3 linked regions of the Schizosaccharomyces pombe genome follow. The main gene of each other region encodes a partner of the protein of the gene in region 3 in a complex. Each region holds a gene or a part of one and is shown on either strand. Other genes may lie near its edges.

Region 1 (3,760 bases), 2.3 Mb from region 3:
TTTTTTTATAGGGACCAGAATTGCGCATTCTTATTGTCCATGCCCGCTGGAATCTTCAAGCCATTGAGCCTCTTGTTAAGGGTGCCGTTGAGACCATGATAGAAAAACATGATGTGAAGTTGGAGAATATTGACATTGAAAGTGTTCCGGGAAGTTGGGAACTTCCTCAAGGTATTCGTGCTTCCATCGCCCGCAATACATATGATGCTGTTATTGGCATTGGCGTTTTAATCAAAGGTTCCACCATGCATTTTGAATATATTTCAGAAGCTGTTGTTCATGGTCTTATGCGCGTTGGCCTTGATTCAGGTGTTCCCGTCATTCTAGGTCTATTAACAGTTTTAAATGAAGAGCAAGCTCTTTATCGTGCAGGTTTGAATGGTGGCCATAACCATGGAAATGATTGGGGATCAGCTGCTGTAGAGATGGGATTGAAAGCTTTGTATTAATTAAGTTGAATCCTTTGCTCATTTTTTTGTTAATAAAATATGCTACTGACTGTTTTGCTCTTCGAAAGGACCTACTGACATGCTAAAGCTTTAGTCATGATCCTTTATACATTGTCGCTTTCTTATGAGCACCGTCTTAGTTGAACAAGTATGTTTTTCATTCAATCGTTTGCAACGTATTTTCATGATTCCCCAGTTTGTTAAGATATACAGCTATGGGTTAATGTATACGATGTTTTAAATTTGCTTAAGACTTAATCCCAACTTATTATGTTTTGTAAGCTTTATTTTGAATATATTACTGTCTATATGCATCTTGTTCAATCACTTGCCCTTTTTACAAAAAAAGATGTTACAGAAGTATTATTGACATAGTTGTAAACAAATTTAAAGGCATTGAATGCTGGGAGCAGGAAACATGGTACTACAAGAGTAGTTTTCTTTTAGAAATGAATGTGATTTGAGACTCTTCTGATGCACAATCTACAATTTGCAACATTACGTAGCCATTGTGAATGTAAAAATTTCCAGTTAAAATCGATATCGGTGTATACAGGTAATTGGCAAGTTAAGAAAGAGCGGTCAATCACCGATTTACAATATTCATGACCACCGCGAAAGACTTATCACAATGGATCAATCGAAATCATTAGGAATCATCAAAAATTAATGGGGATTTTTTATTTACTCTTTCGAAATCTCCGATGCTGGGCTCATACGGTTGGCTGTGCTTAAGATTTTTATGATTTCAAAGCGTTTAGTCGCTGACCGAGGCCTACATGGCTGTATTGTAACTGCATCTCCAACATTACAATTTAAATCATCTTGAACCATATAGTTTTGATATTGGGTGACATACTTTTTCACCACTGGATGGAACTTTTCTTTTGCAACCCGCACTTTCGCTGTTTTTGGCATTGCACGAGAAATCACGATTCCCACATAATTTAGCTTCATTCTTCAGAGTAATTTTAGGATTAAACAAGAAAAGTAAGTAAGTCTAATCCTTTAAATACCCACAATAACTAAGTTATCAATGCGCACCGTTTTAGCAGTAGAGAGTTTTGACATTGCCCTATTTACAAATGTGCAATGAAGCGGCGTCTTTTCCCTTATAATTATTTAACATAAATAAGCTTTCCTTAAGTCAATTAATGATAATATATAAATGTGATAAACAACATAACGAGGATCGGAAAAGTATGTGTATTTTATTTTAAAGTACTTTATGGTAGGGTGACTTTGTAGAGAAGAAGAACGAGGGTTATTGACACTGTGTTTTCGCCATGTTTGACGACCCATCTAAGAGACTGACATATTTTGAATATGCTGTCGGTGTTCTTTTATGTTCATGGCCTGTTATGAAACAGGCTGTTGAAGAAGAATGGGCCGATGTCGATACCGCCGATAAACGAGACTGGATGGCAGGAGTTTTAGTTGATTATATTACAGTTACGAGCGATGTGGAAGCATGGGACGTTGAAGAATTGATTCTTCAAGTCCTGCAGGATGAATTCAATGTTGGTTCAATAGAAGACGACTCACCCTATATCGTAAGTATTCACCAATACTAAATTAGGTAAAGATTTTTTTCAAACAAGAAAGAACGTAACAAGCTTGCTTGAGACTGAAGATTCGTATATATATATTGGCACCGAAAAAATGATTTAAGTTTGAGGACGAAATATTGGAATATTAGTCAAAAGCTCGAGTTTATACACATATTGCGTTCTGTTGTCTATATTAAAAATTTTTTACTTCTATTAGCATTTAAAATAATTATCAAGTGATACGTCTATTAACAGTCTATTTAGTTGGCTCAAGATTTGGTTAATGTGTGGAAAGCTGCTTGCGAAGATAATTATGAACCTATTCGTGAAATCCATGAGCGTCTCGGAAAACAATTGCTTGAAAAGGAGGAAGGAAAGGAAAAAACTAGAGAAGAGTCAAATCCTCCGGTATTGGTAGAAGACGAAACGATTGTTGATGCTGAGGATGGAGGAGCTGCTCAAAATCAGCAGGAAAAGCAGCAGGGACCCATTGTTGATGATGATGGATTCACCGTTGTCCAGAAAAGACGTCGTTAAAGAGGATGTACTATTCTTATATCTTTTGGTATCATTAAATGAGCATTATTGCTGGGAGCAATTGGTTTTATCTTTTTTGTATTTTGGGGGATAATAAAAATTCAAGTTTTTGGTTTGAAAATTGAAAATTGGGATCGAAATAACTCTTATATTTTTTAAGCCTTTGTAATCCGTGTCATAAGAAGATGTAGTTAAAAGTATAGAAGAACGTGATCCGCCAAAATACGAATACGAGTTAAATTGAGCAGCTTTTTCACTTCTCAAATTTTTAATACTTGTTTTTTATGAGATTAGGCTGTAAATAGAGTGTATTTTAGTCATGCAGACGTAAAAAGGCGCAAAATACATTCTTTCATGAATCGAATGGTTGTACATAAATATGTATTATTTTACTAGTCATTGATCCTTTAAAACTCAACTGCAATTCTGGCTTTCGATCCATGTTTTCCTCCTCTTCAGCAGTATTTGGTAGTGCAAAATTTCTAGCAGTTTCGATGATTGCATGGCTTTGGACCGATTCACTCGTAATATCCACTACTCTTTTCTCGTAGAGCGTGCGGATGGATCCTTGGTTGAGAAATGCAACTGCATGCAATTCACGCTGTAGGGAAAAAAGGAAAGCCCGAATATCAAGGTCTTCTTTTGTTTTAAAATGAATTCGAACGTGACACAACAAGTTATGCCTCAACCTCACAATTTTCTCAACAGAACACATTTGCACCTTGGTGTCTGGTTAGATACGGGAGGATGGTCAACCATAGCCAAAAAAAGCAAATGACAAAACTCTTTGAATTTCTCAATACTCCATGTATTAAGTTAAATTATATACAACAAAAGACGACTTATAAATTTCAATTCTAAGATGGGAATACAGTCAAGTAAATGAGTCGTAAACATAACGACTTTTTAGGAATGCTATTTATTATTTATTTTTTAACTAGCCAAGTAGTTAAGTATATGAACAACAATAATCCTTCAAAAGAGAGAATCTAACAACAAATAAATATATCGAGATGTAAACGATCAAAATGGTGTCTTTTTCATTATAGCAAACGAGCAGACATTAGGGCTAAAAGTATTGTGAAAAGTAGTTGTGACCAACATATTATCTTTTCGATTAAAGCAAAAGTTTTTCAAAAAAAAAAAAGATAATACCGTTCGCCTAGCAAACATCACTTGCCATCTATCCACTGCTGTTGGCTTGAGGTATTAATCAAAATTACA
Region 2 (4,236 bases), 1.2 Mb from region 3:
GAGGAAACAAATATAGTATAAAGAATATCAAATTCAGCTCTCAAAATCCAAAGTTTTGGGATTTCAGTCTTGATAGTATCGCTATTTTTGACATACCTTCCATTGTTAAATATATACTGTCCGTTAACAGTTTTGATTCTATAAGCCTTGTTGGATTTTCTCAGGGCGCTATATTAGCATTTGCAGCGCTGTCTATTGATACTGAACTTCGCAATTCCGTACGAGCATTTATTGCTCTAGCTCCTGCAATTGCTCCTAAAAAGTATAGTGGTAGAACCGTTAAATCTATTATTCACGCTAATAGCCAACTTCTTTACCTAATGTTCGGTCGAAATTCCATGCTTGGTTCTGCTGTGTTTTGGCAAGCAGTTTTATATCCGCCAGTTTTTGCAAAAATTGTTGATCTGTTTCTTCGCTTTTTTCTGAGCTGGACCGGAAAAAATATTTCCGAAACTCAGAAAATCGTTGCATACTCCCATCTATATTCCTTTACTTCTGTCAAATGCTTTGTACATTGGGCTCAAATTACGCGTCGCAAAGTATTACAAATGTACGATGACAGTCCAGGATTTAAGCCAAGTTACTATACAAATCTTAACCGAATTGCTCGCTATCCGATTGAAAATATACGTCTACCTATTACTTTAGTTTATGGCAGTAACGATAACATGGTGGACATTGAAACACTCAAGACCCAACTTCCACCATTATCTCAATGCATTCAGGTATGTTCTGAAACAGTTGTAGCTTCATTTACTTAAGTGGAAACTAACAAGTTAAAATTAAAGATTCCTAACTATGAGCATCTCGACATCATCATGGGAGATACGAAAAAGGACATAGTAATTCAGCAAGTCGTAGAACAACTAAATCATGTCATTGCTGGAGATTACTTTGAAAGCATAAAAGAAGAATTTGGACTTGACACAGAATTGGTTGACGGCGTTATGAACCATACAATATAGTGTTCATCGCTTCTGAAACTGGCACAATGTATATTTAATATGTTAGATAAGTTTCTGTTCTAAATCAAACTGAAGCACAGTGTTGTATAGACTGTTTCATCGTATGTGCAACCCTTCTTATCAGTATTTGTATTAAACGGCTAAAAAAAGTTTCTTTGTTTAATTTGAAAAAGTCAATATGGCAACGAAAGCAAAAAAAACTATGCAATTTTTATATGTACAAATAACTTTTAGATAATGCAACAACTAGAAGAATTTGCTGAGTGAATTTGTAACAATTCAAGATTTTATTTCGCAAAAGTTTGAAATGGATTGTACTGCCGCTAATGCATGCTAAGGGGGTAAATTTTCTTTCAAAAACGGGAAATAAATGCTTGATTTTCAGGTAGTAGATTTTTTTCTCTTAACATAAATATCCCCGCCGGTATCCCTTCTATACACATTACCAGTAGAAAGATCAATGAGCCTAAAAACACGCTTCCCAACTTCGCTGGGGCTTGAAGAAATTAGCTCTTCATCTTCATTCAAATCTTTGTGCTCATCAGATGTTTTGTGGAAGTGAGTAGCGTTTTGTCTCATGTTTAATTCCTCAATCGAAGGCCACTTCAGGATTTTAGCAGCCTCTTGAGGTGTAAACGTTTCTCCCTCAGGCAAACTCTTCCAAAGGGATACTGGATTGGAACGCAAAGGAATATCGTTTCCGTCATTAAACTGCATCATCTCAGGTTTAGTACATGCGTTCAGCATTTTCTCCATAACTTCATTATAACTATGAAGAATCGGCTTCTTTTTTTCTTCGAATTCATCATTTATTCTTCTCAACTTTATAAGAGCTTCAATCCTTTGTGGAGATGTGTTGAATTTTCGAGCAAGCACTTCTATACTTGCACCCTGCAAGTATTCATCGGTAATTTTCATACGCAAAGAATGAGATATAGGCCTAGGAGGCTTAAAAAAAGGGTTTAAAGGGAAGGGCTGATTTGTATTAGGTCCCAAGCCTACATTACCAGATGATGAGGACTTTGCTTTCTGTACTTCGGGAGACATTAACCATTGAGCCATCATTAAACGTTGTTTATGACGAAGTGTATTCTTAGAAACTGAAGAAGCAACATCATTTGGGGGTGTTACAGATCTTGAGTTGCAAGCAACGTACTTTGAATCAATGTTCTTTTGAGTGTGTTTATTTAAATCAATATTTCCCCCATTGCTTAAAAATGCTCCAGTACTAAAGAATTGTTTCTTGACTGCTGAGGTATAAGTTTTATTTTGAGATAAATTAAAAGCCGTTTTAAGCCCTAACTGTGAGAATTCCACTGAATTCCTCATTTAGGTGCGTTGGAAAGGTTTCTTGTGTCACTCCCCAAAAGTTAGTAACACGCCCTAATTCTATTCATCAAGATAGATATAGAAAATAAACTTCAAAAAACCAATAATTAATGAGACGATTTAGGAAAACTCAAATTTAACCTCCGGCGGTCAAGCAATCTAGCTCCATTATAAGATCCGATTAACATACAGACGCTTGATTTATTTATGAGACAATAACTCTCAGTATGCAATAAAGTAAGATTTTGTTTATTCTATAGAATGTTTGAGAGTCAGTTCCAATATTAGGATACGAACAGTTATACACATCAATACTTAAAAAATAAATACACAATTTAAGTCATAATTTCTACAGAATCAAACGAAAAAAATTCATTAAATACGGTCATTGCTTCTTTAGACAAGAGTTTCGCATGTCCTTGATATTTTTGTTTGGCAATTGACACATCAACAAATAATAAAGCGGATGGATGGCATTAAATTGATTAGGAAATTCCAAATTGAAAATTAAAGTAGAGGAAAGTTTTAGAATACATGTTATACAAACAAAACGATTTGTGTATCATATTTGTCAGAAAGTTCATAACCAACAATCTCAGCTTAATACCTAAGTTTATTATATTCGGCAAAAAAGGGGAAATAGGTTTAAGGAAACATTTATAAACTTACCTCAAATTATTTAGAGAGTAACCAAAAACCCAAAAAGCAATCAACTAATGAAGAGTGCATGGGCTTAACAATTATTCTAAAAACTTTAACTGAGATGTTTATTTCAAATGTTGAAAGGGAGACAATTCAAAAAGATTTTTAAAGTTAAACGACAATAGGCATATAATTGACCCTACTAAGGCAAAATCCAAAGTGCCTTTCAAAGACCATTTTGTATTTGACCGACTAAATCGTAACCCACTTCCTTTCAGTCTATTATCATAATGTACATTATTGCGAATATGTGTTTTAGAGAAAGCATTTTATGAAGTCATTATTTGGTATCCGAGGAACACTTCAGTAGTAGTTCCTTGCCATCCTCGATTTCCACTAGCTGAAAACATGAATTGACAAGAAGTGTCTACATAAAGCGAACTGACAAGACCTCCATGATGACCTGGAATAATTAAGAACCCTATGCCGGCCTTGCTTTGAAGATCATAAAGGCGGATATTATCAAAGGAGGAAATTACAAGGTGACGGCCATTCGGCATCGAATAGACATTTGAAACAGGACCCGAATCGAGAGGCATTTTTAAAGAGCGAACAGGCTCCTTGCCAGAGTGAATGTTATATTCTTCGACGATTCCATTTCGGCGGCCAATATATATATTATTTCCATCCGGACTCCAACATGCAGACATAGCCCATGGTGGTACACCCTTGGGGACGGGGTATTTGAGAACAGAATCGACCATGCGATGGTCCCATACATTCATAACTCCATCTATAGACGTCGTTAAGAAAATATTGGACTCTTCGGATGAAGATTCGGAAGGAGCTTTTATGTTGTCATTGTTAGTAGTAGATTCGGTTTGAGAGGGTTTTTCTGTCTCGTTCTCCTCATTTGCTTGAACAGATTTAGTTTCTTCTTCAATGGCTTTTTCCACCTCTTCATCAAACAGTGCATCGTAAGAAGAGGAAGACGCAGGTGTACCGAACAAACTACGCATGTCGTCCGATTCAGAACCCCAAGGATTTACAGCGCCTGATGGACGATAAACTATATTCGAAATTTGACCACTCTCACAATTGTATGTAGATATTGCATCACCAGTGTTAAGGTCCCAGTAATAAACCATTTTGTCCCAGCTTCCACTCAATACTTTTTTCTCGGAACCATGTAATGCTAAACACGAAACAGGAGCCGTATGCTTTTTTAAAGAAGTAACGGGATAACCCTCTTGATGTCTTGTAGAGTACAGTATAATATCTCCATTATTGACGCCCGAAA
Region 3 (4,385 bases):
GCAGCAACCCAAAAGTTTTTGATGTTTACCGATGTCAATGTTCTTAAAGCTAAGGACCTAATCATAGGGTTGGAAGAATAAATGTCCTAAAAGAGGTTAACATCCATCATCATAAGAGATGTACAAATTAGAAAATTACATTCAAAATAAGTTTAACAGCTCTCTTCGCCTCTGTGGGTTTCACGCTGTCAATTAGTAAAAAATAAAGAAACTTTTACAAACCTCGCGTAAATTTTCAAGTACAAATAGCATAGTTTTTTTAATTCTAGATTATTAGATTCCATAGAAGATATCACCGATGGAAACAGTGAACTCATATCATATCCATAAGATATGCCTGCAATTGCTTTCTTTAAAGCAGAAATTCGTTTGTTTGCAGATTTGTCCTTATTATCTGAGCTGAAGACTGCTAGCAAATCAGCAGCGGTAGACTTTTGTTTAAGTTAGTAATTCCGAATTTTATGAAAGTTAAATTACCGAAAAATGACTTGAACTACTCGACATTATAACAACATGCTATGTACGTGTTAACATTCAAAATGTATTGTGGTATAATACTGAGTGTTATTGTACAAAGCAAAATAACGAGTTACAGTAAAATGCTTGAATAAAAGATTGTACGAAGAAAAGAAAAATAATGATTGCTAATAAAACACGATTTTATCTCTTAGTAGGTACTAGAGTAACTGGGTAATTAAGAAGCAAATTCAAAAGACGTTTACAAAGTTTATCGGATTTACAATTTAATACACTGTCGGGAAGCGTTGATTGATATAAGCTTATTAATTTATTTATGCAAATTTTTTAGCACGTGCGTACATAATATAAACCAAACAGAGTTCAATATAAACGGACACCCTTAGGAACATCGTAGGTTTCCAGTAATGCGATACGGCCATAACGAAAATTACAAGAACCAAAATAAGTTAAAATCACTCAAAAAACAAACAATAAAAATTCAATCTTTTTTAAACAAGAATGGTGGGAATAATAAACAAGCTTGTTGACAATATTATTTCCTAGAAAAAGTAATAGGTGTATAGAATCTCTCCATGAACAAAAAGAGGGAGAAAAAAGCGGTTCACTACAATGCAAAATAACGGTTAAAAATATTTAATGATCTTAAAGGCATATCATGATAGCTCAAGGAGAAAGTAGTCCGTGCAATTAATTTCCCTAACTCAAAAACTCAGGATCGTAAGCAGATGAAATAAATGTTAAATATGGATGGATCTTCATAATAGACGATTATCAACAGACGAAAACAATATTAAGAAACAATTCCTTGAAAGAAAAGCTATTGTTTTAAGAAAACCGAAGTGACTCACGGGAGAAATAATCGTTTTACTGTTTTTTATTGTCAATGTCAACTTGTATTATGGTATTAAATACTCCTATTTTCTCGTGTGATATTTGGAATGGTTTTACCGGTTTCATCGACATTAAGAGATCGAATTACGTATCGATTTTTTGTTGAAGTAATTCCTTTGAGAGAAGTAGCAGCTATAACTCCTGAGACACCAAATAAACATTCTTTAGAGTCGGGTGCAAATTTTCCGTAAGTAAATGGTAACGGGACTTTTTTAGTTTGAATAAAGGATACTAAACTTAGGCGCTTCTTTTCAGAATCAGAAAAAGAATCTAAAAGTTTCAATTTGGCGTATAATATACCTGGTGGAAGTGTAGGTCTGGATTTAGGATTTGAGCTTGAGAAAGTGTTGTATTTCTGTAAAAGGTAAGGGGAAATTTGTTCATAATCATTAAGCGGAACAGGGAGCTTAAGGTCGTAAATTCGTTTCAAGGTGCGTACGAATCTGTCACTGCTGATGAAGGCACACTGATGCTCGAATGTGTCAAACTTTTGTATGGAAATATGACGGTTTTTTAGGATCGGTAACTTCCTCTTAGCTCCCCAATCGCCGCGAAATCTTTGGCATTTCTTCGCAGTAATTGCTTGTAGGATGGGAATCTTCGTATCATAGACATCAGGGGAGTTCCTCGGCAAGTCTGGTCTTGCTAAACTAACTGCTCGGGAGCATCTCAACAAATCAGGAAACTTCATTATAATTTTGATTAAAGATATACTTTGTCAGAAACATCCAAATTCTGCCCAATGTAAACCACCACCGAAAAGTAACTGCTGAACGAAAGTGGGTACTTCTAATGAGTCAATATTGTCAATATCAATAGCAATCACTCAGAAAACACACGAATACGACTGTAATTTTTTGATGCCAGCTATTTATATACTTTTGTCGTGCAATCCAGCTTGCGAAGTGTTTTACATCAAGTGTGCACACTCATGAAAAGTATATACGAGATGAAATTCTCTCTATTAATATACAAAATTATGGCCAATGTTACAATAGCTAGTTTGAAGTTATAGAATCGCTTTCGTTAGGAGGTCATGTCGGCATGTTGTGTAGTAAACGTTCACTCTCCTCAAGTAGCAATGTTACTTGACTCGCACACTGTTGGATAGAGAAACAGAGTGCTTTAATTGTTTACACTCGAGTAAACCATGACTGAGTACGATTTTAGCTTGTACTTATTAAATTTAACGGGAATTTTTTTTATAATTATAAATTAGTAATACTAAAGGTATGGCTATCATAAGAAAAGTGAAACTTATAAAGGTTAACTTTCGGTAAATTTGTGTGTTCTTCCTTGTTCATTAATGAGTTTATCTCTACTAAACTAAACTATATGATTTTTCTAGTCTAAGTTTATTTACTGATAATTAATGAGTTGCTTGTCAGATCGTTTGTTGTTTATATTTGTCTATTATATTTGATCTTGAGATTCTGTATATCATGTAACAGATTTTTAAACTTTTTCTTTGACTATTTGTGTGCTTATTAGCTATCTCAAAGGCTTAGGTATATTATTACTTGTTCAATACATTATGATTTGCAATAATGCAATTGTTCCAGTCACTATTCGAGCTTGAAGAATAAATTATACGAGAATGAATACATTGCTTTAATACAATCGCTATTAAAATGTTTCGGTTCATATTCTACTGTAAGCGTATTATTCAACATAGATTACCTGACTACCAATAAAAATTTTGCTTTAACACACCACCAGAGGACAGGCAGGTTCCCTTACTACCCTACCACTTCTGGGTGTCTTTCTATGAACGTAATGGTTTCGTTTAATCAATTACGAAACTATTTTCTAGAAAGCAACAGCTTACGGCCATCGAAATGGCTTTTTCAGTCGTATGGTACTTCAAGTTCTGCGAATATCCTAAATGGAAAATTATTGGCAAGGTAAGATAAAGTTTATATTCTAAATTTTCTCTATGCAGATGAGCGTGCATTTCTGTGTTTGTCTTTGACGATAAAATTTTGGTGGTTTGAAAATTGATTTGCGTACATTGCTTAATTCCGTATATTCTTCAATTTTTTTGTCGATACTTAGAAGTTAAAAAATTGTATTGGGCATTGCAGCACGTTTGAGGTTTCATCAGATTTTTTTGCTCTTAAAACTTTATATTTTTATTTCTCTTTGAGGTTACTAATGTAGCGACTAATTAGAAAATTACAACGTTCTGTTGCTGAAGAAGTGCAGGCCTTGAAAGCTAAGGATCGAAACTTTAAGCCGGCGCTTGCCATTGTACAGGTTGGAAAACGTGAGGATTCTAACGTGTACGTTCGAATGAAAGAAAAGGCGGCACGATTAGTTGGTATTGATTTTAAATACTGCCCGTTTCCTGAAACAATCCAAATGCCTGCCTTGCTTCATGAATTAAAAAAATTGAATGACGATCATACGGTTCACGGTGTCCTTGTCCAACTTCCTCTTCCCAAGCATCTCAATGAGCGTACAGTTACTGAATCTATCACTCCGCCGAAAGACGTTGATGGATTTGGTGCATTTAACATTGGTTTATTGGCAAAGAATGATGCTACCCCCATTCATTATCCCTGTACCCCGAAAGGTATTATGGAGTTATTAAAAGATAACAAGATTTCAGTCGCTGGATTGAACGCTGTAGTTCTGGGAAGAAGTGACATTGTCGGAAATCCAATTAGCTACTTGTTGAGAAAGGACAATGCTACAGTAACTGTCTGTCATTCTAAAACTAAAGATTTAATTCAGCACATTTCTAATGCTGATTTGGTTATAGCAGCATTAGGCAAACCCGAATTTGTTCGTGGTGAATGGTTGAAACCAGGATCTGTTGTGGTAGATGTTGGCATAAACGCTGTTCAAAGAAATGGAAAACGCGTTTTGGTTGGCGATGTGCATTTCGAATCTGCATCCAAAGTTGCTAGCAGCATTACTCCTGTCCCTGGAGGCGTCGGACCGATGACTGTTGCTATGCTAATGGAAAATATTGTAAACGCTGCCAAGATAGCTAGAACAGAAAACATTTA

The links. The genes of interacting proteins can lie anywhere in the genome.
Region 1: mug178 (region 3) and mrps17 share a complex: the UniProt entries of both Schizosaccharomyces pombe proteins name them as parts of the mitochondrial small ribosomal subunit.
Region 2: mug178 (region 3) and bot1 share a complex: the UniProt entries of both Schizosaccharomyces pombe proteins name them as parts of the mitochondrial small ribosomal subunit.

Annotation. Positions count from the first base shown.
Region 1 is NC_003423.3:1,165,799-1,169,558, forward strand, and holds mrps17 (mitochondrial 37S ribosomal protein uS17m), read right to left. Parts: upstream 1,500-3,760; 5' UTR 1,407-1,499; coding exon 1,134-1,406; 3' UTR 722-1,133; downstream 1-721. Other genes in the region: rib4 (6,7-dimethyl-8-ribityllumazine synthase), read left to right, coding at 12-449; rRNA processing protein Tsr2, read left to right, coding at 1,736-2,002, 2,264-2,536; DNA recombination protein Saw1, read right to left, coding at 2,889-3,251; protein duc2, read right to left, coding at 3,756-3,760. UniProt on the Schizosaccharomyces pombe protein: Component of the mitochondrial ribosome (mitoribosome), a dedicated translation machinery responsible for the synthesis of mitochondrial genome-encoded proteins, including at least some of the essential transmembrane subunits of the mitochondrial respiratory chain.
Region 2 is NC_003423.3:2,230,818-2,235,053, forward strand, and holds bot1 (mitochondrial ribosomal protein subunit S45), read right to left. Parts: upstream 2,306-4,236; 5' UTR 2,295-2,305; coding exon 1,347-2,294; 3' UTR 966-1,346; coding exon of another isoform or gene 789-965; 3' UTR 726-788; downstream 1-725. Other genes in the region: SPOM_SPBC14C8.15 (triglyceride lipase-cholesterol esterase), read left to right, coding at 1-725, 789-965; SAGA complex subunit Spt8, read right to left, coding at 3,266-4,236. UniProt on the Schizosaccharomyces pombe protein: Component of the mitochondrial ribosome (mitoribosome), a dedicated translation machinery responsible for the synthesis of mitochondrial genome-encoded proteins, including at least some of the essential transmembrane subunits of the mitochondrial respiratory chain.
Region 3 is NC_003423.3:3,445,829-3,450,213, forward strand, and holds mug178 (mitochondrial 37S ribosomal protein bS1m), read right to left. Parts: upstream 2,397-4,385; 5' UTR 2,063-2,396; coding exon 1,385-2,062; 3' UTR 688-1,384; downstream 1-687. Other genes in the region: AP-2 adaptor complex subunit Apl1, read right to left, coding at 1-86, 140-185, 223-431, 478-504; ade9 (trifunctional formate-tetrahydrofolate ligase/methenyltetrahydrofolate cyclohydrolase/methylenetetrahydrofolate dehydrogenase), read left to right, coding at 3,139-3,275, 3,543-4,385. UniProt on the Schizosaccharomyces pombe protein: Component of the mitochondrial ribosome (mitoribosome), a dedicated translation machinery responsible for the synthesis of mitochondrial genome-encoded proteins, including at least some of the essential transmembrane subunits of the mitochondrial respiratory chain.